Lepisosteus oculatus: one gene and its partner. The protein of the gene in region 1 interacts with the protein of each later gene in a biochemical or structural test. Links are inferred from orthologs where the notes say so. Each region holds a gene or a part of one and is shown in the gene's direction. Other genes may lie near its edges. The genes, in order: cabin1 and mef2d.

Region 1 (11,911 bases):
CAAGATATTACTGTAAAACAAATCTAGCCCTAATTTGATGACAACAGAGACACAACACATGATGTGACTCACTATTAACCAGTTTCATGAATTATATCCTACACCTTGTTAAACGCAACCCTAGGAATGTGTTGCATGACCACAGGAAGTTGTTTTGGGAATCGCTATGCTAAAATTAATTGGGATGCAACACTGCCATACATTAAATGTGTACATTGTGTGATTAATAAGGAACCTGTTTTTCAAGTGTGGTATTTGGTTATTTTAATAGAGTTCTATATTGGATTGAATACCATGCATTTCCACTTTATGTGATGACCGTACCAATCAATGTGAAAAAAAACACCCCTATCCTTTAAGTCATGCATAACTGGATCAGTGGGTTTCTTCTTTAAAGATCTACATAATTTATACAGAACTTTCCATCCAAAAGGTTTGCAGAGCATTTTTCATAGAGTAGAGGATGTGACCAACTTCACCCAGCTCTTGGGAGCAGAAAAAAAGATAAAAGCATAGTTTAGAAACAAAACATCTTACTTCCAACATTCCTCATAAATTTTAGGTTACAAAAAGTAAAAATGTCTTAAGTAAAAACGTATATTTATAGCATGCAATTTCTGAGTAGAGCTCCAGCAACTGAAGCAAGCATGATTCATGAGAGAAATCATGGAATGTCAGGGTTCCATAAAAGCACATCGCAGAATTTTGTCCATGCACACAAAAGAGAGAGTTTTTTTTCTCAGTCCGGACCACCTTTTCGTTATAAATGAGCTTCTGATAAAGAGAAGGTTACGTCCTGTGCACACACATTGTTCCTGAATAGACGAATGATTCGATCTTGGAGCTCAGTAACGCTACACTTGATTCAGTATTCAATGTTCAATGGTCAGAATAATTATTGGAAATAATTAACTCATGAAGTCGTATGGCTCTTAAATCCGATATTCTTGTAACTATACAGTGAACTTGATGCTCGCACTGTGTCATTGCCTTACTGTAGACAATTTTGTGAATACCATTAAACAGGTTCATCGCATTTGTTTTCTAGATTTTGTGATGCGGCGGCAGACATATTTAACCCAGACATATTTGCTTTCAAAACTGAAGGAGTTTTCCTTGCTCTCTGCGCCTTTAAGAACGCCACGGAACAGGCGTTGCGGACGCAGCCAATGAGCAGTGAAGTTGCACCGCTTTCCGGCTTGAGGTGTCCTCGTATAGTCCCTTAGGTTCTGTAACTTCTTTCGTCTGATTGATAAAGTTTGTGGAGGACGCTATGCCGTTCATCGATCTGGAGAGCAACCTGCCTTCGAGCAAATTTCCCGACGAGTTTCTGAAAAAGATGTGCTCCAGCACGGCGGCGGTACTAGGGAAGCCCGAGGACGTGAGTGTGAGACTGAACTGCTTTCACGGCATATTGGATGCAGCTGAAGCAGTTCTGATTGTGCTTGAAGCGTCCTCGAACTTGGACGATACATTGTTTCGGATTGGGGACTTCCACATCGAGTAGTTTGTATGCAAAATAAAGTTCGTTTTAAAAGGAAGGAAATCGCATAGTGTTGATGATGGAAAGCTACGTTTCCCCTTTCACTTATGTATCTGTCTGGCGCTTTCATCCAAACGGGTTTAGCTTTGCATCCACCCATTCATTCATACAGCTGGGAGATTTCGGGTGAAGTACCTTTGCTCAAGGGAAACACAGCAGTGACCCCCCAGAGATTTGAACCCACAACCTTCCAATTAAGAGTCCAGAATTCTAACCACGGATTCACATTTTTTTAAATTATGCCACTGCCAGATTATCAGTGAATGTGTATTTGATGAATTGCACATATGCCTGGGGATGGTTATTATTATTATTATTATTATTAATAGCAGCTGTTGACTAGCCAGGCTGGAGAGGACAGTTGTGTGTGCTTGACTCCTGCTGTTTTCGGCTTCTCCTCCACAGAGGATGAACTTGACTGTGAGGGCAGGCCTGTCCATGCTCATGGCTGGCTCCTCAGCTCCTTGTGTGCAGGTCACTGTCTCTGCCATTGGGGTGGTGGACAGTGCGGAGAAGAACAAGCAGCACAGTGCCAAGATCTTCCAGTTCCTCACCCAGGAGCTGGGGCTCAGCGAAGACAGGTCAGTGCACTCAAGAGCATCCTCAAGTACCCTCCAGCCCCTCCACTGTCCGAGAGTGGCACTGGAGGCTGTGTGTCTTAGATAGATGCTGCACATTACACATATTACCACGCAGTTATGGGGAAAAATAAAACCACCACAGAGTTTTACACAATTTCACACAAAATTCGCCCAGCCATTTTCTAACCACTTCCAGTTCAGGGTCATAGGGGAGTCGGAGCCTGTCCCAGCAGGCTTAAGGAAGATATGGAAAATTCAGATACTTTTTATTATTAAGAGCCCTGCTGTTAAATTAAACAGCGCCTTAAGAGTTTCTTTTACACAAAGGAAGGTATCATCCTCAGGTTAGATTTCTAATGTTAACATATTTTAAGAATTTGGTAACAAAGTTGTCGAGTTTGGGGACACAATGATTGCGATTGGGCCATGTGAATGGCTTACAAATGGGGCTCAAGATTTCTCATTTTCCTCCTAATAGGATTGTCCTCCGGTTCTGGCCTCTCGAACCCTGGCAAGTTGGGAAGAAAGGGACTGTGATGACCTTCCTGTGAAGAATGAGGATACAAATGTCACATTATTGCTGCAGTGCACCACCAGGAAAGAGAGTGTGGATTGTTTCTTATACTTGACAGTTGTGTGCAGAATGAAGCACATTTTTCTGTTTAATAAATTCCTAGTGCTCCTTATATGTAACAGATATCAATGTGACACACTCAAAAATAAAAAAAAATATTATAAGAAGGAATGTTGTCTAGTCAAGGGATCCCTTTTCCAGATGTATTTCTTTATAAGGACGAACAACATGAAAGGATTGTTATAAATTCTTACTTATGGCTATGAGGCATTAAAAACAGAACGGAAGGTCAATATATCAGCAGCTTTTAGAGCACCTTTGTCTGCTGTGTAAGACTGAGATTTATCCTACACAGCTGGCTAGACTGGGTGTAAAAACATCCCCTGTGAGAACTGGTGTGATGTATTGGCTGGTTCTGTTAGAATAGGAGGTTAAAAAGAGTGACCTGAGGATATTCATTAGTTTAGTTAGATGCTGGTGCCTGGAATTGAATAAATAATTGTAGGTATTGACTAATTGGAAAAAGAGATTCTGTATTTAAGTGAGCTGAGTTCCTGACACGGTGTTAATATTTGTTCTCTGTTGCCCTGAGTTTTCTCTTTCTTCCTTCATTGGTCTGCTCTGCTGAACTGTCTAACTGTGAGTGTCTTCTGGTAACCCTGCATAATGCCTCACTCCCATTGAGGTATTACCACCTGAACCTGGTACTCAGAAAATCTTTAACATGTGTCTGCTTATAGCACATTGCTGATATTCTGATTGATACTCTTTTATTTTTTTAATTGCCACATTTGAAAGTCTTTATCTGTATATTTCAAGGTATAATCATCATGAAGAGAGACCTTAACGTGACTGTGTACGTTCACTTGTTCTATCATGCCCTCTTGTTCTCAGTTAGTGAAAATGAGCTCCGTGAAGTTGCCCCCCCCTACAGACAGCACAAACGATGAAATCCACCTCATTCGTTAGAGCTACGTTTGTGCCGTTGAAAGTAGCGTTTGTGCTGCTTTTGTTTCCGAGATATAGCACCTTCTTTGATTTTGATCAGTTGACCCCAGACTTTGCAGCCTTTACATGAATAAACAGTCTTACATTTAACCATGTTCTCGAAAATGTATTGCTTGTGTACTCGTTTCATTGCTGAAGAGACACCAGTTTCCAAATGACCGCTTGTACAACACGAGAGCCCATATTCACATTTTTAGGTATTGGTTTCAAGATCGAGATAATTTAACAATTAAAAACAGAATTGAAAGTACGAGCATAATAATATAACGATCATAGACTTACATTTATATTTTATTTTTGAAGTACAAAGCAGAAGGTGTTTCCCATACCTTAAATATACGATTAAAATTGTTCAAATACCACGTATTCATTACGGAAAGCAGCGGAGACAGTTATACTACAAATAAATGTATTTATTTCGAAGGGTACGGGACATTGTGAATCAATAAAGACGTCAATAAAAACAAGCCGATGTAGTTATTTTGCAAATAAGTAAAGCATTTTAAAAATAGTTTCTCATTGACAGTGAACAAGCCGATCCACCTGGCGCTGCTGGCTTGAACAGCTCTCGGACCCGTGATTGGCTAAACCCCCGAACAGCTCGGGCCGCGATTGGGTGAAGAGTGAGAATCGACACTCTGATTGGGTAAAGCGCCACAGCGGAAGTTCTGTGTACCGTGTGTGCTGTATGAGCACGCTGGATACACAGTAACAGTAACACATCCATTGGTTTCCGATTACTGATCAATCTCGCACAAAGTCGCCCTGAGGTTTAAACAGAATAGCAGACAAAGAATGTCATGGTATCCACAGCGCGTTCACGACTCCGATAGCATGTCACGATAGGAGTGCGCGCATCACGATCACATGGCGATACCCATTGCGACTGGCGCGACATTAAGTCCATATATTGCGATATGACATACCGACAAAACGCCCCCGCCCCCATGTCGCGACATGGAGACGGCATATCGCGATATAGCGTACCCCCAACAAAACGCCCACCCCCATGTCGCGACATGAAGACTGTATATCGCGATATGCCATCCCCCAGCAAAAATGCCCAGCCCCATGTCGCGACATGAAAGACTCTATATCGCGATATGACCAAAACTGCCATGCCCATGTCGCGACATGAAGCCCTATATATCGCGATATGACCAAAACTGCCACGCCCATGTCGCGACATGAAACCTGTATATCCCGATATGACATACCCCGACAAAATGTCCCGCCCCCATATCGAGACTTGGAGTCCATATATGCGACACACAAAGTCCATATATCGGGACACGTCCTATCTGGGTATATCATGTTCTGATATGAGACCTTTGTTGTGACAGTGGTGCCAGGGTGCCATGGAAGCAAGGCGCCACTCGTGATATACACTGCCGCGATATACATGCCTTATACATGGGGTCCCTATCATGACATGCTGCGGAGGTCTTGTCGCGATGGTATCCCACAGTTACGCATTTGGAAACAGCGTGTCACGGTAGGGAAAGAAAAGAAAAGCGTCTTAGATAATAAAAAACATTGATCTTACAATCACGGTGATTTTACATACATTATAACCACAGTTTTATGTCATAGATAGTTAACTTGTTGGCGTGCGTCATGTCTAAGTATAAATCACATCTAAGGCGGCTCATATGTTTATGGATATTGATTGTCTTTAAAATGTTAAGGGTACGAGCTAAACTGTAACAGAGCGCTTGAACTCGGCAGACGAGGTCAAAGTCGCTGTGCATGGTCATGTGATCACCGGGAAAACAAGGTGCTATATCTCGGGAACGAAAACAGCACAAACGCTACTTTCAACAGCACAAACCGGCACAAACGTAGCACTAATGAATGAGGTGGGTTTCATCGTTTGTGCTGTCTGTAGGGGGGGCAACTTCACGGAGCTGTGAAAACGCTAACAAAAAATGTCACTTGTACCAAGTATGTCCTGGAAATGTGGGGATTTAGTTTTAAAGTGGGTCTCATCAGCGTTATTGAGGCACCGAAGACCTGCCTTGGCTGAGGCACAAATAGTTAAAACCTATACATCTGATTAACAATGGGCGCTTTAATGATAATTAATGTAATGCATTGGTTTAATTTAATGCAAATGATAGCATTCTTCAGCTGTAATTACTTCTGTATGTAAACAAAACATTCACGTTATTTGCCGCGGTGTCCATGAATAAACTTGAAAATTATCTTGTCATTGTCATTTGTTCCTTTGGAAATATGAACATTCCTTTTGTAGAATAAAAAAAATAAATTGGGTTAAATGTGTTTATTTACAAAGCATTTTTGTAACTTTCACCTTTTTATGTGAAATTTAATCGAAGTTTATTGCTTTATAATTCATACTATCCCCTTCATAGCTGCATGCAGAATAATATTGTCTTCCAATTGGAGTAAAATAAGACACTTTTACCCTTAAAAATACCGTTGACAGTAGAAATCGAATTACAGTATTATAAGGATAATATTTCAATTTGAGTCTTCTTCATGATACTATCATTGATAGTGTTAATCTTGTGTTGTCTTGGGCCAGGTTTAAATAGCAATTACTTGGAGCAAAAGATGTTTAATCCGTTCTCTCATCAAACATTTTCCGATGTAGAGTATATGGACAATAGTCCACAGAAGTTACTTTCCACAGAACCCAGTCCTGCTGTGCCTGGTTACCAGCATATGAGTTTGTGATTGGCTGAATTTCACCGGCCAGACTGAACCAGTAGGATAGGCTGTTGCTGGCAGATGCTTCACAACAGACAAGCAAAGTGCAGTTTGGAAAGGAGCGCAGGTAAAGAATTAAAATACGTTTAACGCTATTTCATGCATCGTTCTGCGCACCTCTATTTATATAAAAGTCAACAGTTAGGTTTGTTTCTTTTATTTAAAACGAATACAATCTTGAGTATTTGTAGTGTTGCAGAACATGCTTGTGTCACTGGGGAGCTGATTGAGTTATTGTATAGCTGCGAAAGGGTGAAGGAAACGCACCAATTGATTCCTGATTACAGCTAAAAAACTGAAAATGGTAGAGTTAAATGTTATAAATACATGAAATATACTGAAATCTATCGTTGCCAAAATGTGGTTTTAGTTTTACTCGGCAAATTGTTATATTTCAAACGTTTACCTTAGCATGTGGGATATTGGTGTGCAGCCATATATCAAATTAATGGTGCTGCATGTAATTGAAAGTAATATTTTGTGAATAACGTGTTAATAGTATTAATAAATACAGTCCATTATATATACTTCCTGAACCCCCTTTCTTAGAATGATCCAGAGAAACATCAGAGAGCTTAAAATACTTTAACGCTTGTATAGTATGTTACGATTGTGTTGATAAACAAATGCCTGCAGTTTGTATCAAAGAATAAAACAAAAACATCGCGATAGTTCTGTCATAAAGCATTTCATTGAAAAAGGCTGTTTATTGCAGGTCTTCTCAACATGAAGTAAGAAGAATCTGGTGCTGAAGAAAACAATGGTACATTTTATTTTCTCTCGAAGAGCAACGTGTGAAGAAAACCATATTGATTTCTTTTAATTTTTGTATTTTTATTAAGTTAATCAATTAAATAATTACACAGACTGGCCTGCTGTTCTTCGGGGTTTAATACAAATTGTAATTGTTTTGATGTGAACCCCACACTTCAGACATAGCAGTGATTTTGAATGAATAATTAAATGTTATTTTATGAATCAACAAAGGAGTCATTCTTTAGGGTCTCAAATTCCACAAAGTATTGCATTGCATATTCAGTTTAATGGCACTTTGTAATATAATTATAGTAATATAGGATTATATTGAGCATGAATATACATTCAAAGTTTCACTCATTTTTAAGCTTTTTCTTGGTCACATTGCATCCTGGTAGGGGTTTTATTAAACTGGCTTCCTTCCTGTGTTGGTTTTTGCGAACCTTTTCCAGCCTAAGGCACATGTTTTTACGGCATTCACTAAAAAGTGATATGGTCCTGGCCGCAGCAGTTGCCTGCTGGCCTGGAAAAGCCGATATGTTTTGTCGGTGAATTATTTCCAGGTGGGACTGGTTTGGAATTGGGCAGCGCACCAGTTGATGTCTGATGGCGCGCTTGTTGGGAAACGCTTCCCGACGTGACACCGTGGCCTCTCACCCGGTCTTTCCCTGGAGTTGAAATAGGTGTGGTCTAGGCTCATCGTGACCTCCTGAAGGCTTGACCCTGGCTTTTACTTCCAGATCCGAATCGCTGCACTGAATGCGGCCTCGGCAACTGGGGACGAACACGATGACCTGCAGAAAACCAGGAAGACGCAGACCAAGGAGGCCCAGGTGAGCTCCCTCTGGCTTAATACCCACGTTACCTGCTCTCCTGGGCCATACTGTTCATAGGGTTCAGGCATTTTATATCTTAAAAAATATATGTTATTATGCAAAGGAACAAGTAATAGGTTTATTCCATGCTGAAAAGAGAAGAAAGAAAACGCAACGTTTCGGCCCTGGAGCCTTCTTCAGGTGTGAGAAAGACAGGGCAGTAAGCAAAGGTGATGTACAGTAGCAGGAGAACAAAAGCTGGTAGAGAGGAGGGGTGGGAGCAGGGGACAGACAGAGTGGCCACTCGGTGGTGTGAAATTAAACCTACAGTGAACAGAGAGAATTTAGAAGAAAATTAGCCTGGTGTTGAGACAAGGGTGTGATCCTAGCTGCAGGATCATTTTATTTTCTGTAGTCTTTCTGATGTGGGAGTTGGGAAAACCATTTTTGAGAACACACGCGGAGAGATTATATTTTATTATATTAATCAGTATGGAATATGCATGTGTGATAAGCGCATCTTCCTCTGCTCCTGCTGGGCTTTGATCCCGTTTGCCCCTGGGCTCCGTTCTGTCCAGTGACTCTTCCTAGACAGCAGATGACTCGGCCGCGCACGCCAACAAACTAGTCCTGCGCCAAGGCCGAGTTTTACACTGCACTACGCTTTCAGAAGAGGGTCACTTCTGTAACGGGCTCGGGGCATTGCTCTTCAAGCATGTGCCCAGTTTGCTCTTGTGTTAATGGGGGAAGCAGCAGTTTGGTAGGTGTTTGTGTATTTGGTGGTAGGCGGAAAGCTGAAGGTCTGAACAGTGTACAGACTGTTGCACAGTTTGAGCGCTCTTTCTCTGAGTAGGAGGCAGAGGCATTTGCTCTGTACCACAAAGCTCTGGACCTCCAGAAACATGACCGGTTTGAGGAGTCTGCAAAGGCCTATCACGAGCTCCTGGAGACCCCGCTGCTTAAAGAGGTGAGACAGTAATGTACACAATGGTGAATTGTCCCATCATCATACGACTTACAAAATACATCTTTTGCGTTGTGTGACTAGTGTTCATAGACTTACAGATCAGGTCATTTTACTTAGGATACAGGATAAATAGCAAATATTTCTAGGATCTTTGGGTGATTGTTGGAAAGTAAACTTGGATTCCTGTAGAAGTGGTGAGTAATGTTTTTGTTTGGGTTAATGTGTTTTGTGTTATATTTTTTTATGTGTACTGTTTCTGTGTTTTATTTTTGTTTCTCTGTGGGTTGAACATAACTGCTTGGAGGCAAAACAAATTTCTGAGAAATCAGATAAAAATATTATTGTATCATATCGTCAATAAAACTGTTGCTGTCTTGCACTAGGGAAGTTGGTAAATATTTTCAAATGGATGCATTTTCATTTTTTCATCTGTCCATCTTTCTGTCGGGCTATCTATTAATAAATACGCCAAATGTAAATACACTAAAGAATGAAATGAGGCAGTTGACTGTTGGAAACCTTTCTAAAACCCGCTTTTCACAAAAGTATGCTTTCAAGTTCCATGACCTGGGCTCTCTCCCTGGATTTTCCAGGCGGTGCCTTCAGATGTTGAGAAGATAGGGCTCAAGCACCCAGGGCTGATGCTGAAATACTCCACTTACAAGAACCTGGCCAGCCTGGCCGCACTGCGGGATGACCTGGAGACAGCCATGGACTTCTACCTGGAGGTAGATCAGATAAGATCACTTATCTGCATTAGGAATTGGTCTTTTTTTTGTACCCCAGCATGCTCTCCCTGAGACACATAGGCATACAGACGGGGAGAGAGAAGCTTGGGGTCAGAGCGCAGGGTCAGCCATTTATACAGCACCCCTGGAGCAGTTGGGGTTAAGGGCCTTACTCAGGGGCCCAACGGAGTAGGATTCCTCTGCCGGCCGAGGGATTTGAACCGGCAACCTTCCAGCCACAAGCGCAGATCCTTAGCCACAGAACCACTGCTCCCAGTTAATACAGCCACTACAGCTGAGAATAAATTTCCAGCTTCTGTAGTGGAATTACCCCTTTTAATTTGCACAGGTCACATCATTGTTCTTTAGATAAGCTTCCTGAAGCTCTTATTGTTAAATGGCATCTGTAAATGGAGTAGGGGGATTGTTTTTTTCAGTTTGTTTAGTACATGCTCATTTATTAGTGGAATTACTCACTAATTTCTGTTGAATATAGTGCTACAAACAAATATCCCTAAATTGTTGCAGGCTGCAGTGCAAGTGTGTGGCCAAAGCAGACCTGAGATTGTTAGGGTTTAGTCTAATAATAGAATAATAGATTTTATCATTTGTGATTAGTTCTGAAGGAAAGGGAACAGAAATAATTCTGAGAAAGAGTAGCATATTTTTATTTTGTGTCTTTGTGCTATTTTGCCGGAGCTACAAGTTGTATGTGTTGCGCTGTAGGCCGTCCTCCTGGATGCCACCGATGTGAACATGTGGTACAAGATTGGCCAGGTGGCGCTGAGGCTGGTGAAGATCCCTCTGGCCAGACACGCCTTTGAGGAGGGACTGCGCTGCAACTCCGACCACTGGCCCTGCCTGGACAACCTCATCACTGTGCTCTACACACTCAGCGACTACAGCTGTGAGTACCCCCACCTGCAAGGTGGAGAGCTGTGGGCCAGTTAGAGGTGGATATAAGTGCTTTGTAAAATCTTTAAAAAGTGGTTAAAGAATAGAATAATAACATGTGCCTCAGATTTTCTTTAGTAATAGGCCAACAGTGTTTTGTTGTAAAACTGCCTGCAGTTATGGAAGACACAAGATGGTGCATTAAACAGACATGGTATTGAGAAAGGGTTTGTAATGGGAAGAAAGGTACTCTTACATTCCAATGTATAGCTGATCAGAAGAATGTGGTGCTTGCCTGCGATGCTGAAAAAATTAACTGGCATTTTGAACTTTGGACGACACAGTGGTTTAGTGGTTAGCATTGATTGGGGTGCCTCACAGAGCAGGGGCCCTGGGTACAATTCTGGCCCTGGAAATAGATCTGCGTGGAATTTGTATGTTTTTCCTGTTTTTGTGTGGGTTTCCTGTAGGTGCTCCAGTTTCCTCCCACAGTCCAAAGACATACGAGTAGGTTAACTGGCTTCTGTGAAAATTGACCCTAGTGTGAGTGTGTGCGTGTGTTTGTATCTGCGTGAGCCCTACGATGGACTGGTGTCCCATCCGGGGTGTGTCCTGCCTTGCACCTGTCGCTTACCAGGATAGATTCCAGCTGCTCCGTGACTTTGTATTGGATAAAGTGGTTAAAAAACAAATGGATTTTAAACCTTTGCTTGGCCAGTGAAGATAAGTTCATATCTGGGTATTTTTTTCCTTTTTCCAAAATAAGTACGGTCCAATGTAAAATGTTTCTTTTGGCTTAGTTTTAATGAAGCCGTTTGTGGATTGAAATAAGTTTTTGCAGTCTGCAAGGTTGCTGTCACCAAGTCGTTAACTCCACTAGGAGTTCAAGAGGGGGGAAAACTGTCTCTGATCAATTATACATCACACAGCCACAGGGCAGCCTTTTATCAGCTCTTAGCCACAGGCTTTTCCCTCTAGACTCCGAAAAGCTGAATTGAATATGTACAAATGATGACTGACCGTTTTTATGTGCCTTGAAATTCATTGCTAAAATTACTTAAAACGTATCAAATAAAGGCGAACCTTCCAGAAAGGTAAGGAACAGGATTGGTGCTCTATTTGTGTAAAACCTGTCGATAAATGCAGAGGGAATTCAAAATCGTGCCGAGAGGTGAATTATCAGTAACGGCCAGATTAGTTCAGTTTGGGTAGGTGCCGTCTGTGTTTACATCATGATCTGTTGGTCATGTAGCCATTACATGTCAAATAATCCACAGGTGACACAAATGTGTGTGACAAATATGGTGTATTG
Region 2 (11,450 bases), on another chromosome or scaffold:
TGTTCCTCATGTCGACAAAACTTCACAAATAATCATCATTTTTTCATAAATATTGGATGAAGTGTGTAATTATTATTATTATTATTATTACACTTACATAGCGCTTTTCTGGACACTCCACTCAAAGCGCTTTACAGGTAATGGGGACTCCCCTCCACCACCACCAATGTGCAGCATCCACCTGGATGATGCGACGGCAGCCATAGTGCGCCAGAACGCTCCCCACACATCAGCTATCAGTGGGGATGAGAGCAGAGTAATGAAGCCAATTCATAGAGGGGGATTATTAGGAGGCCATGATGGGGTAAAGGCCAGGGGGGAAATTTGGCCAGGACACCGGGGTTACACCCCTACTCTTTTCGAGAAGCGCCCTGGGATTTTTAATGACCACAGAGAGTCAGGACCTCGGTTTTACGTCTCATCCGAAGGACGGGGCCTGTTTACAGTATAGTGTCCCCGTCACTATACTGGGGCATTAGGACCCACATGGACCGCAGGGTGAGCGCCCCCTGCTGGCCCCACTAACACCTCTTCCAGCAGCAACCTTAGTTTTTCCCAGGAGGTCTCCCATCCAGGTACTGACCAGGCTCACACCTGCTTAGCTTCAGTGGGTTGCCAGTTGTGAGTTGCAGGGTGATATGGCTGCTGACGTAATGCAAACTCTAACCAGATAGCAGTGCGATGACTCTTCTGAGGGTTTATAGTGTAGATTGCACGACAGCAGCACTTATTAATGAGTTCGATTAACACAATTGCTCCTGCATCCATGTGCACTAATTTAAGTCCAGTTTCGTTGCTCTCCAAAGACATGCATGGCTACAGCAGTCTAGCCATGTACCAGGAGTTATGGTGCTCAGTGTGTAATAGTGCAGGACTCTTCCTCCGAATTCTGGAGGAAGGGGTGGGCAGGAATCGAACAACCCCCCCCCCCCATCCTTGGGGAAGGCAGATGCCTTCTTTGCCCCCCCTCCTTCTTGTCTCAACATAGAAACACACGAGCGGGTCCAAACCCGAGGAGCTGTTCGGCCCCGTCCAGCCTGTGTGGTGGCCAGGGATCTCATCCAGGTGTCTCCCGAAAAGGATCCATCAACAGGTCGGGGCAGCTTGTTCCCCACCCCCACCCCTCTTGGCGTAGAGCCGCGCCTGCCCGCTCTCAGTTTCGAATGCTCTCCCACCCGGTGTCCACCCGCGTCCCCTGGCTCCTGCTTCGCTGACCCCTCTGAGGAAGTCCCCTGGCTGTGACGCTGTCTGTCCCCCTGAGGACTGTCCAATCTTCCCCAGGTTCTCTGTTCCAGACTCGGTTCCTTCAGCACGCCCCTCCCTCAAACCCTGGAATGTATCTGATGGCAAGGGTAGTGTCCACAGGCATCTTTCTGGACGTTGTCCTCTCTTTGAGCCCTGTCCACTACAGACCCAGGGAAGAGGCATCCCCCTCACTGGCCTGCCATCTGTTCTCATTGACATTTCCTCTACAGATTAAGTGTAAGCTCCTTATACACACAGATACAAAAACCCGCTGTAATCCACCGTCCTGCTGGGCCTACTACACACACGAGTTTATCCTTCGGTTCGTTTTTTCCTTCTCCGGAGTGTATTTTTAAAGACCGCCAGCGATGCTCGTTCTATTTTAAACCCACCGTTCACTGTCTAGCCCTGGCTAGGATTGGAAAGAAGAAAAAATAACAGCACCTAAAATAACTTGTTTTTTGTTGGGTTTTTTTTAATAGAGCTGGCTGGCTCCGTGCAGCGCGCGGCTTCCTTCATGCGCGGGCGCTCGTGCGAGGGCTGCCTCCGCTGTCCCTCCGCGAGGGTGGCCTGCGCGCGGGTGCCACAACCCCATGGGCGCTGGACTCGGGTTGTGACCAAGTATTCGTCCCCCTCACGGCCGTCTACACTGGCGCCTGCCACTCAAACAAGACTTTAGTTCATTCAAAGTAATCTACGTGCAAAAAACCAAACAGTCACATTCTCACGATCGCTGTAGGAAAACTCACAGCTCAATTAAATCTGCCTTTCAGGTCTGTGGTCGACTGACCCTTAGCACGCAGTGCTGGATTCACATTAGTAAGGTTTCGTGCTTCTTCAAAGTGCCTTTTTAGTTTTGACTATTGCGCTATCGTAGCTGCTTGCCGAATGAAGATGAGCGTCAACTTCCTGAAGAGTTCAATCTTAAATGATCACACCGGCTGCAGCTACAACGCCCTAAGGAGAACGCCTAAGTGAAAAACGAAATGGGACTTTTCTCTTAAAAGTATGTTCTTTTTCGCAACCAGCTTTTAAAACTCCCACTGCGATACAGTCTGCTGGGGCGTGTGCGGGTCGCCGAGAGCCGTTCAGTCGCTGGAGGTGTGAGGGTGTCAGACAGCAGGGGTTTTTACTGTATTCCTCACGCCCGTCCAGTTTGGAGTCGCGGACTGTGTTGCTTACAGTCAGGCTCACAGTGACACCACCTGGACCGGGACTGAATAAAGGCCCGGGATCGCCCCCCAGCTGTCCTCGCGAGTCAGCGCCCAGTCCAGTCGCCACCTGGAGGTTTGCGTGACAGGGTCTGCGGCGCCCCGCGGGGGAGTGAGCGCTGATTGGAGGATCTGCGCTGATGTCACAGCAAGCGCGAGAGCCCCTTATAAAGCCTCAGAGCCAGAAGACCCCTGGCTGACTATCTCCACAATGCTGAACAGTTTTTTTTCCCCTCAAAAGGCTTTGTTACTTCAGTGTTAGGAAAAGCATGACAATTATTTTTAAACTTAGATACACTTAATGATGGTCTTATTATTGTACCTGAGTCTTAGTCCTTATCTTTTTATACTAACTACCAATTAAGCACTTTGCAGTTTTCTATTAAGTACATAACTGCTTATTAAAACGTTGCTTAAGGCTGGGAGGCTACCTTACTGCCACTTACTGCAGGTGCAAACCCAGCTCCAGATCAACTGTACCCTTTAATTGTATAACAGTTCATAGAGAAAGAAAATGCATATCTTTTCTGACGTATTACTGCGATCTTCTTTAATGGCTGAGATTTCGTCTAAAATGTAAACAACAGCAAAGCGCGTGTGGTCCGGGTGACATTTAAATCGGTCCGGGTTGCTTTAACTTCCCCCACATGCTGACCGGTAGTTCTGGAGACTCTGACGCAGTTGTGACGTACGTGGAGGTGTAAGGAGAATTTGGAGCGAGGCGTTCTAGAATAAACGAGACATTCTGTCCTGCCGCCCTCACCCCGCGTGGCTAAAGAGCGCGTGTGGTCCTATTGGAGGGACGCTACTGGGGTCTGCAGCAATATTTCAAAGGTCTGGCCGCTCCTTCCCCCAAGACACCACCTGGTCGCTGTCCTACTTTGCTTCATTTTCTCCCTGCCCTGTAGCAGCCTCACTGCTGTTCTCACAGTAAACACTATATCCCTCCGCCGTCCACGTACGAAATAGTCCCTTTTACTTCTTCGACAGTAGTTTTGCTTATTTAAGCCTAATGTGAGGCCTTACTTATTTAAAAAAAAAATGGAAATCTCCATGTCTTACACACGGGGAGTGTGTGTGTATGTGTGTGTGGGGGGGTCTTTTCGGGCAAAACAATATCACGAGTTTAAGGATCGGTTTGAGGTGTCGGTGACACAGTTGCCTCTTTCGCTCTTTGGCAAGAGATGGAGGGGAAGAACACTTTTCGATTTTGACGAGCGGCTTGTTTATGACCCGAGGCGCTGTCGTTGCTTTCTTTCTTTTTCGAAAGCGCGAAGCCGGCAGCCGGGGAGCACCTTCGCTGCAGATAAACACAGGGCAGCGCAGAGCTGTTGGAAGTTTTGCCCTCATCGTCTGTAAAGGTCACCCGCACATTCCCGCTTCGGTACAAGCGCGCAGCCTGGACAGTCCGGCCCAGGAGCCAATGAGCACACCCACGTCCGGTATTCGAGGCATCCCGAGCAAATTCACACCATAAAACTATTTTGATAATAGTGATAATAATAATAATAATAATAATAATAATAATAATAATAATAAGGAACAAGTAATAGGTTTATTCCATGCTGAAAAAAAGAAGAAAGAGAACACAACGTTTCGGCTGTGGAGCCTTCTTCAGGTGTCCTGAAGAAGGCTCCACAGCCGAAACGTTGTGTTCTCTTTCTTCTTTTTTTCAGCATGGAATAAACCTATTACTTGTTCCTTTGCAGCCTACGCATGCTGACGCAGCTACCCACCTGACATAATAATAATAATAAAACTTTATTTGATATAGCGCCTTTCAATGTGGCGTCTCAAAGCGCTTTACAGAATGACAACAACGATCAATAAAAAATTCACCCTATAAAACATAATTACAACGCACAGAGGAGACCGTGGGCGGTGGTACTAAGTGTGGTAGGAGCAGAGGGGTAAAGAATGGAACCAGTTCAGCAAAGGTTAATATCTACATCAATTATCTAAGGTAAGTAAATATCCCATCAAGCCCCTGGGTGGCAAAGTTAACGATATAGTCGGAGGAACCTCCACCGGCCTGGTTCTTTCTGAGAGTAAAGGGCGTGAAAAGTCTGAAACTGCATTCTTTCTTTTTTTTTCCCGGATCTGCGGCACACACAAAAATAGCCCCTTCTCGCGCTGAAACACGCCGTTCCGTTAAATACAGGGCGATTTCGCCCCGGCTGGACTCTTACGTAGGTTAATCATCACCAACTAACAGCTCGCCCCGGGCCCTGCTGATGTATGGGCTCCGGTCAGCATGGCTGGGACCGGCAGCAGTCGAGTGAATTTAAGACACTTCAGCCACGTCGGCATGAACCTCGCTGGTTTAACAGGAGTTCAGTGCTGTCAGTGGAGGCTGGGGCGCGTGTTTTCACATTTTTGGTTTTGTTTTCGTCTTTTTTTTGCGCGTTACTCATTTTGCTGAAGCCTTATGATTAAAAAATATATATATTCCAATGGTTGTTTCACCTGCAAACAATCCGGTAGCTGAAGATTCAGGGTTTTTAATTGTATTTTGTAAACTCGGAGCGACGCGCGCCGGGCCTGAGCGTGTCCATCCTGTTATGTTCACCGTCTCTAATCAAGGCACCTCCCGAGCTGGAACGTTGTCTGTGTCGTAAGTCGTTTTATCGTTCACGCAACGACTCAAATCCACCCGTGAGCCCTTAAAAATGGTGTTTAAATCATGACGCCACAAGACTTTGCCTTGTGGAAAAACAAAATACAAGCCGTGCGCTGGCAGAGGTGAAACAGCGCAACGACCTCGCTCCTGAAAGAGAGGGGGTGCAGTTTCCGAACTGTAGTTTCTACTGCTTTCCAAGTCGATTCTATTCTTAAATTATAATATATATATAATAATAGACACATTTTCTTTTGAAAGTTACAAGACAGGTCTGTTGCTCTTCCAGGATGACAAGTGTCAGTTTTTTGGGGGGAAAAATTGATATGATTTTTGTTGAATTGCTATTTTAATAAGACTTGGATTTTATACACACTTGAAAGCAGAAATTTGCAGCTCACATTGTGGAGGCTGGATTTCAAAATGCAACCAGTGCTTAAAACAATGCAATAGTTTTTAAAAAAGTCGCTTTTGAAAATTCCTTTGTGCCATAGTAGCTTTTGAACTTTTAAAATCAATATATAGGCCAACTTTGGAGCAACAAGAGTAGAAGTTAGAAATTAAAGGAAAATAATAGTATTCTAACTTAATGCTTGTAGTGTTAGATTAACATTTTTTGTTAAATAAATTATTTTATATAATGAGGATGCTATATTAACAGCGCTGGGCCAGAGACATACGCTGTCTGCATATTTATGTCATGTTGCGAGATAATAAAAGGATCATTTGTGTTGTATTTGGCTGTTCAGTTTTTACTGTAGATTATTTTACAAACCAAAAAGTAAACCGGTTATGAAAAAAAAATTAAATTAACTGAAGTGAAGAGGATCAGTACCCATAAAGAGGAAGAATCGTACTGTTGGTGTTTAAAAATGTAAGGCGGAAAAAAAAAGGCCTGTACCTTTAATAGAGACATTTCCTTCCAAATAATCCAAGCAAATCTAATTGACAAGGCGGAGGGATACACACTCGTCAGTCAAACTTGAACAGCCCCCCTCTCCCTCCCCTTCTCCTCTCTCGCGTTTACACAAACAACCTATCCTTTCTGCCCGCGTCTCATTGGTCGCGCCGCGCCAGCCGCCGTCCGCGATTGGCTAAGGGACACGCCACTCAGGAGAAGAGGGCCATCCAGGTTAGATTGCACGATACTTTCTACATTGTATCATTTGACTGAACTAAATAGTTACCTTGTACAGCCAAGACGGGGGAAAAAAAGAGAGGGGGACGGAGTCTTTTTTTAAAAAAAACAGAACGACGTCCTTTATTGATACTTTTTTTATCGTAAAGGAAATAGCGCTACCCGTTGTGCCTCGCAGCTGTGGAAAAAAACATTCTCGGGTGAGTGAGACATTAGATTCCTTCCTCTGGCGTTTTTGACGTCCGCACAGTTGCTGCTGCTGCTGCTGTGGTTGTTTTTGTTTTGCCCCACGAATGTCGGTTCGCTTCTCGCTCCCTTTTTCACAAGTTTGTCGTGCTCAGCCGGTGCGATCTGGCCCCCGGAGCGGGTCCGGACACCGTCGGTTTTGCTGTTTACTCCGGCTTTCTCCGTGCCCGGTCTGTGGTCCTCTTGTCGTTGCTGTTGCTATAATGGCTGTCGGCGATCCCCTCCACCCCTCTCCAGTCTCCCAGGGAGGCTTTGGGAAACAAAGATGGGTTCGAGACCCATTTCTGCGTGTTCGCCTTGTCCTCCAACCCCGAGAACATTGCGTGGGGGTTGTTTTTCCCCCCCTCTGCTCTTCTGGGGGCGATCCGCGCTCCGTGTCGTCGTCAGGGCCAGCCGTCGTGACAGGAGCTGTCAAAACCCCCCGGCTGAAGCTGTCAGCGTGGATTTGGTCGCGCTGTGGAGACGAACTGTGTTCATTTCCGTGGCACGTTTTCGAGTGGATGTGTTGTTGTTGTTTTTTTTTCATGACAGGGTGGTATTTTCCTGAAATATGAGTTGAACGCCGCTCCAAAATAACATTCGCGCGTGTATGTGTATGTGTGGGGGGGGGTTATTCGGAAAATGGTTCGTGTGCTGTATTATTTACTTGCATAGAAAAAAATGAATGTTTTGAGATGTTTAAAATGAGGGATCGCTCCTCAGGAGGGTATGCCTTGAAAGTGGGTTGGCACTGATCAAACAGTTGGCAAAACGAGAACAAGCGTCTTTTTGGGGGGCCATTCGCGTAGGAAAGCTAACTCTCCCGCCGCCCGGGTTGTACCGTCACCATCAGACGACCCCTCGGCGGCGGACTGGAGTTGACGAACAAAAGCTCCGTTTTCGTCACGAAAGCGCCGGCCGGATCCGTTTTCGAGAAAGAAATGCGGGCGGCTCTCAGGCGAGTCCCGCACTGCGTGTGGAGCCAGTCTGTGGGGTGGCTGTTGGTGGGACGGGGACCCCCCGACTCGCCTGACCGTTATTTTTAGGGAGGTTTGGATCGACCGACCTACCGCCGAACCCAGCACACGCGCTGTACCGTGCCGCGAGCCGCTGCGTGTCTGCGTGCTGCTGCTGACGACGACGACGTCACTGCTTCGGAGGGTGCCCGAGCCCTCTTTTCCTGCGCGTGCGGCTGTACCCTACCCCAGACCGCCTTGTTGAGGGTGCGAGGGGGTCTGTGTGGAGGAGTTGGGGTACAGAATGGGGAGGGGGCGACCGCCTGCCCTTAACGCGGCGACTGTGGGAGCTCCGTCTGCGAGGGCCCCGTCCCGACGTGAAGGAAACAAGGCGTCACACGTTTTGTGTTGACACGGAGTCTCGTTGCCGCCCGCCCCCTCCGCCAAAAAAGTCTTTTCCCCCTTCCTCTCCTCAAGTAACGCCGTGTTTGGTAAAAAATAATAATAATCCCCATCAGTATTATCATTATTACTGTTAATAAATACTTAACCCCCACACTATTGACGTTAAAGTGGCTGTGACGCCAGGGATACTGTACTGTACAGTAGAGAGAAAATATCAAACCCGCTGGTCACCATAGAAACACAGAAGTGTGAACTCTTCTCGTCGACGCTGCCCCAGAAGGACCATCGCGGCAAAAGGGAAAATGAAGCTTTAAAAAACGTTCGCCGTGTTTAATTTGATGTCCCAGCTGAAAGAAACCCGTTAAACACGGGATCCGTTTTGAAACGTGTCCGTCCCGTTGCTATAGATTTCGGACTTCGCAAAAGCACAACAGATCGTCCGGCCCGCCCGCTTCATTTGGAAGGCAAAGCAGATTTTGAGTCCGAATCTCGAGTTGGAAGCTGGGTCATCGCTTTAGTGCAGCCTTGGTTCTGGTCCTGGGATTCGCTGCTACTGGGCCCTGTATTTAATCAAACTGCTGAAAGTGGCTGGAGATGTTTAATTAGGAAATGACGTACTGTAGTTAAGAGCTTTAAAACAGACAAATGAGAGGAGTCATTTGTAGCCATTAACAGTTATTTGATCCATGTATCTCAAGCCAAAGTATTGGCTTTAACCGCTTGGCTGGGCAGCGTGTTCCACACTCCCACAACTCTTTGTGTAAAAAAAAAAAGGTTCTTGGCTTTAACTTGTACAAAGTTTCCACTTGTGTCCTCTGGTTGAACAACTTCCCACACCTAAGGAGCTGAAAACAATCAGTTACAGTTCATCCTGTTTTTCTTTCAGTGAGGGGTCAGGGCAGGAGCCATGCTGGGCTCAAATCAGAGCTGTGCAGAACTGTGAAAGGAGTGTGATGGGCAAACCTGAGCTGTGTCCGACCTGACGCCCCACTGGGCTTCAGGCAGCATGCGGGGGGGTCACTGCCCGCGGCCCGCGGACAGGGGGAGAAGACGCGACGTTCCGGTTGTAGAGGGCGTTCACCTGCAGCCTGTGAGCTCGCACAGCCCCCCTCGTTTATCCCTGTCAGTCCTGCCCTGGGCTTGTGACCCAGTCCTGCCAGCGCAACACTGAATTTCCCTTCCGGTCCCGCAGGGCCACGCCGGCCTCCTGGTTTTTTCTCCATCCTGGACTCGGTTCGGACCGACGAGTTCCGACGGAGCGATGTTGTGAAATGGTGTTTTGTGTCCTGCGCTGTTGCCCTATCTGCTGTAGGTTGAGGGGCTCTTGTTGTGGAAGACAAATGAATACAGGCGAAATCAACTCTTCCCGACTCGGTTAATCAGCTGTTCCTTTCACCCGGCCAAGCACTCTGTGGCCAAGTGTTGTGAAGGGCACTGCCCCTGGTAAAACGATTGATTGATTGAATGGCTCTGTTAGCCAGTTAGCCAGTTCTTTACTTGCTGAGGCTGACGCGCTGGCTGTTAAACCTGGTGGACTGTGGCTCTCCAGGGCCAGAGGCGAGTGGAGTTGCTCTCTGAGCAGAGGCAGTGAAGTTCGTTATTTCCCACGGAGACCCTCGCTGCAGAAACTGTAAAAAGGCTTGGACACACGGCGTTTCCGCACCGCCAGAATCAATGCAGACCTCTCGAAACCGACACATAACTGCTTTTAGTGCACTGTTGTCTTAACCCTGCTTCTGGAGAGCCGCGCTCCCACAGGGTTCTTGGATAACCATTAAATTGTTCATTTCTCCACGTCTGGAACGATTTCATTCTGATCAGATAAGCAGGTGGTGTTAAACTGAGCGATTTAGCGGTCATCTGGAGAATAATTCACAATACCCTTCAACCCTCAAGGACCACAGTTGCCTTAATTGAGCACACCTGCTGTTTTGTTTGTTCCAATTGAGCGCTGTTACATGATTGAACCCAAAATTGACCTAATAGGATTAACTTGAACTCCTTGTTTTCAGTTCCTACACATCAGAGGCAGACCTGTTGTGTTTCACAAGTCATTTACAAAGCTCAGATTATTTTTTTTTGGGGGGGGGGAATGCTTTCTGATTCTGAAAGCAGTCAGAATCAAGGAGCTCATTCCATTAAGGAGTCAATTAAGTGAATCGGCTTAATTGATTGTTAGCTTTCGTGTGTTCCCAATATTCTGCAAACACGAATGGGGCTCTCCAGGGCTGGTGTTGGAGGCTATGTTCAGGGTCGATGATCTGTGCTCAAGGGAGCTTGTTAACATCTTCTGATTAAGCAGAACTGTGACTATAACAAAGTCCAGAAGATAACAGTGGCTTTTCTGGACCAGAGAAGCTCTCTTTACTAATCTTCTGATGTTAGATTAGAGCTTGCAGCTGGACCTGTGATCAACCTAGAGGAAGATTTTTTTGGGTAATTCTGACGCAGGGGTGTTCAGTCAATATCACCGTTAGCTCCTCAGCCAAGCACAGTGTCCAGTGTCCAGTGTCCAGTGTCCAGTGTCCAGTGTCCAGTGTCCAGTGTCCAGTGTCCAGTGATCCCTCTCCTCTCTTCTGCGCCTTTGTCTAGGTCAAGTTAATCTTAACACCTCTGAATGGCAGCACATAAGAGGAACTGTAATTGTTGATTATCGCTTGGCATTACTAAAATAAATATACCACAACGCACGATGCTGTTATTTTTGTATATTTTGTATTGGCACTATTTCTTAATTTTGTTGCTAGCCATATTGCAGATTTGGTGGTTGCCCTGTTCTAATTTTTCTTGATTTACTTGAGCTGTTTGCAAGACATCTGACCATCTGATCAGTGGAACCCTTGGTCGACAATGAGAAACTAAACCAGCTATGCAATTCTGCTTAGTCTGTACATTCATTTAATTAAGTTTAGAGGTAACATGCAGGGCCTGTTCTATGTCAAAGTGATTGATTGATCTGGTGTTGGCTGGCATCCCTAAGTGGGATTCTCAGGGCCAGGTTAGGGAACGCTGACCACATAATACTCTCCCTTCTGGTCCTCAGGGACTCCAGTGTCTTCTGGCGTTTTCCCTGCCGGTCTCTCAATCGCCAGTGTGAACTGGTGCGTCTGCCCCATGTCAGCTTGCTCGTCCTCTGCACTCGGGCCTGGGTTTTAGAAACACTCCAGCTAAAGTAGATTGTTTCCAATAATGAGTCCCCACAACTTTATATAACCTGCTATTAAAATGGCTTTGCTCTCTTACACCTGACCTACAAAGCTGGTCACCGAAACAGGGCGGCTGTTAACTGTGATGTACAGGCACAGGTGGGAATGACACACTATCAGACACTCCCACGCGGAGTGTTTTGCCTTCTGCTGAAGTCCAGTTGCTCCCATCTCAGCTGACAATGAACTCCCGAATTATTACAGGGCTGGTGCTGATTTCACTTCCTGCTCACCTTTTTTTAAGAGCTGAAACTAACTTTTGAAAAAAATAATAACCCTCAGAGAGAAATCAGTGAGCCTGCGATGAGGGGCTCTGCTGGTGCAAGATCCCGAAGACGCAGGGGTCCCCCCCCCCCGCCTTGTACTCGGGCTGCCTTCCTGTGACTCAGCTCTTCAGCCTAAATAAGGGAGCGGTCAGGAGCTGGCCTGCCTGTCCCCTAGCCTTGT

What was found.
Region 2: the proteins of cabin1 (region 1) and mef2d form a complex in vitro, tested with the Homo sapiens proteins (2 studies listed by BioGRID). The link is inferred for Lepisosteus oculatus from reciprocal best matches to the Homo sapiens genes CABIN1 and MEF2D.

What each region holds. Positions count from the first base shown.
Region 1 is NC_090717.1:9,543,920-9,555,830, reverse strand, and holds the start of cabin1 (calcineurin-binding protein cabin-1), read left to right. Parts: upstream 1-6,431; 5' UTR 6,432-6,506; intron 6,507-7,154; 5' UTR 7,155-7,199; coding exon 7,200-7,202; intron 7,203-7,935; coding exon 7,936-8,028; intron 8,029-8,863; coding exon 8,864-8,977; intron 8,978-9,570; coding exon 9,571-9,705; intron 9,706-10,431; coding exon 10,432-10,612; intron 10,613-11,911. Other genes in the region: ddt (D-dopachrome decarboxylase), read left to right, coding at 1,274-1,381, 1,949-2,124, 2,603-2,675. UniProt on the Homo sapiens protein: May be required for replication-independent chromatin assembly. May serve as a negative regulator of T-cell receptor (TCR) signaling via inhibition of calcineurin. Inhibition of activated calcineurin is dependent on both PKC and calcium signals.
Region 2 is NC_090722.1:4,540,286-4,551,735, reverse strand, and holds the start of mef2d (myocyte-specific enhancer factor 2D), read left to right. Parts: upstream 1-6,203; 5' UTR 6,204-6,411; intron 6,412-11,450. UniProt on the Homo sapiens protein: Transcriptional activator which binds specifically to the MEF2 element, 5'-YTA[AT](4)TAR-3', found in numerous muscle-specific, growth factor- and stress-induced genes.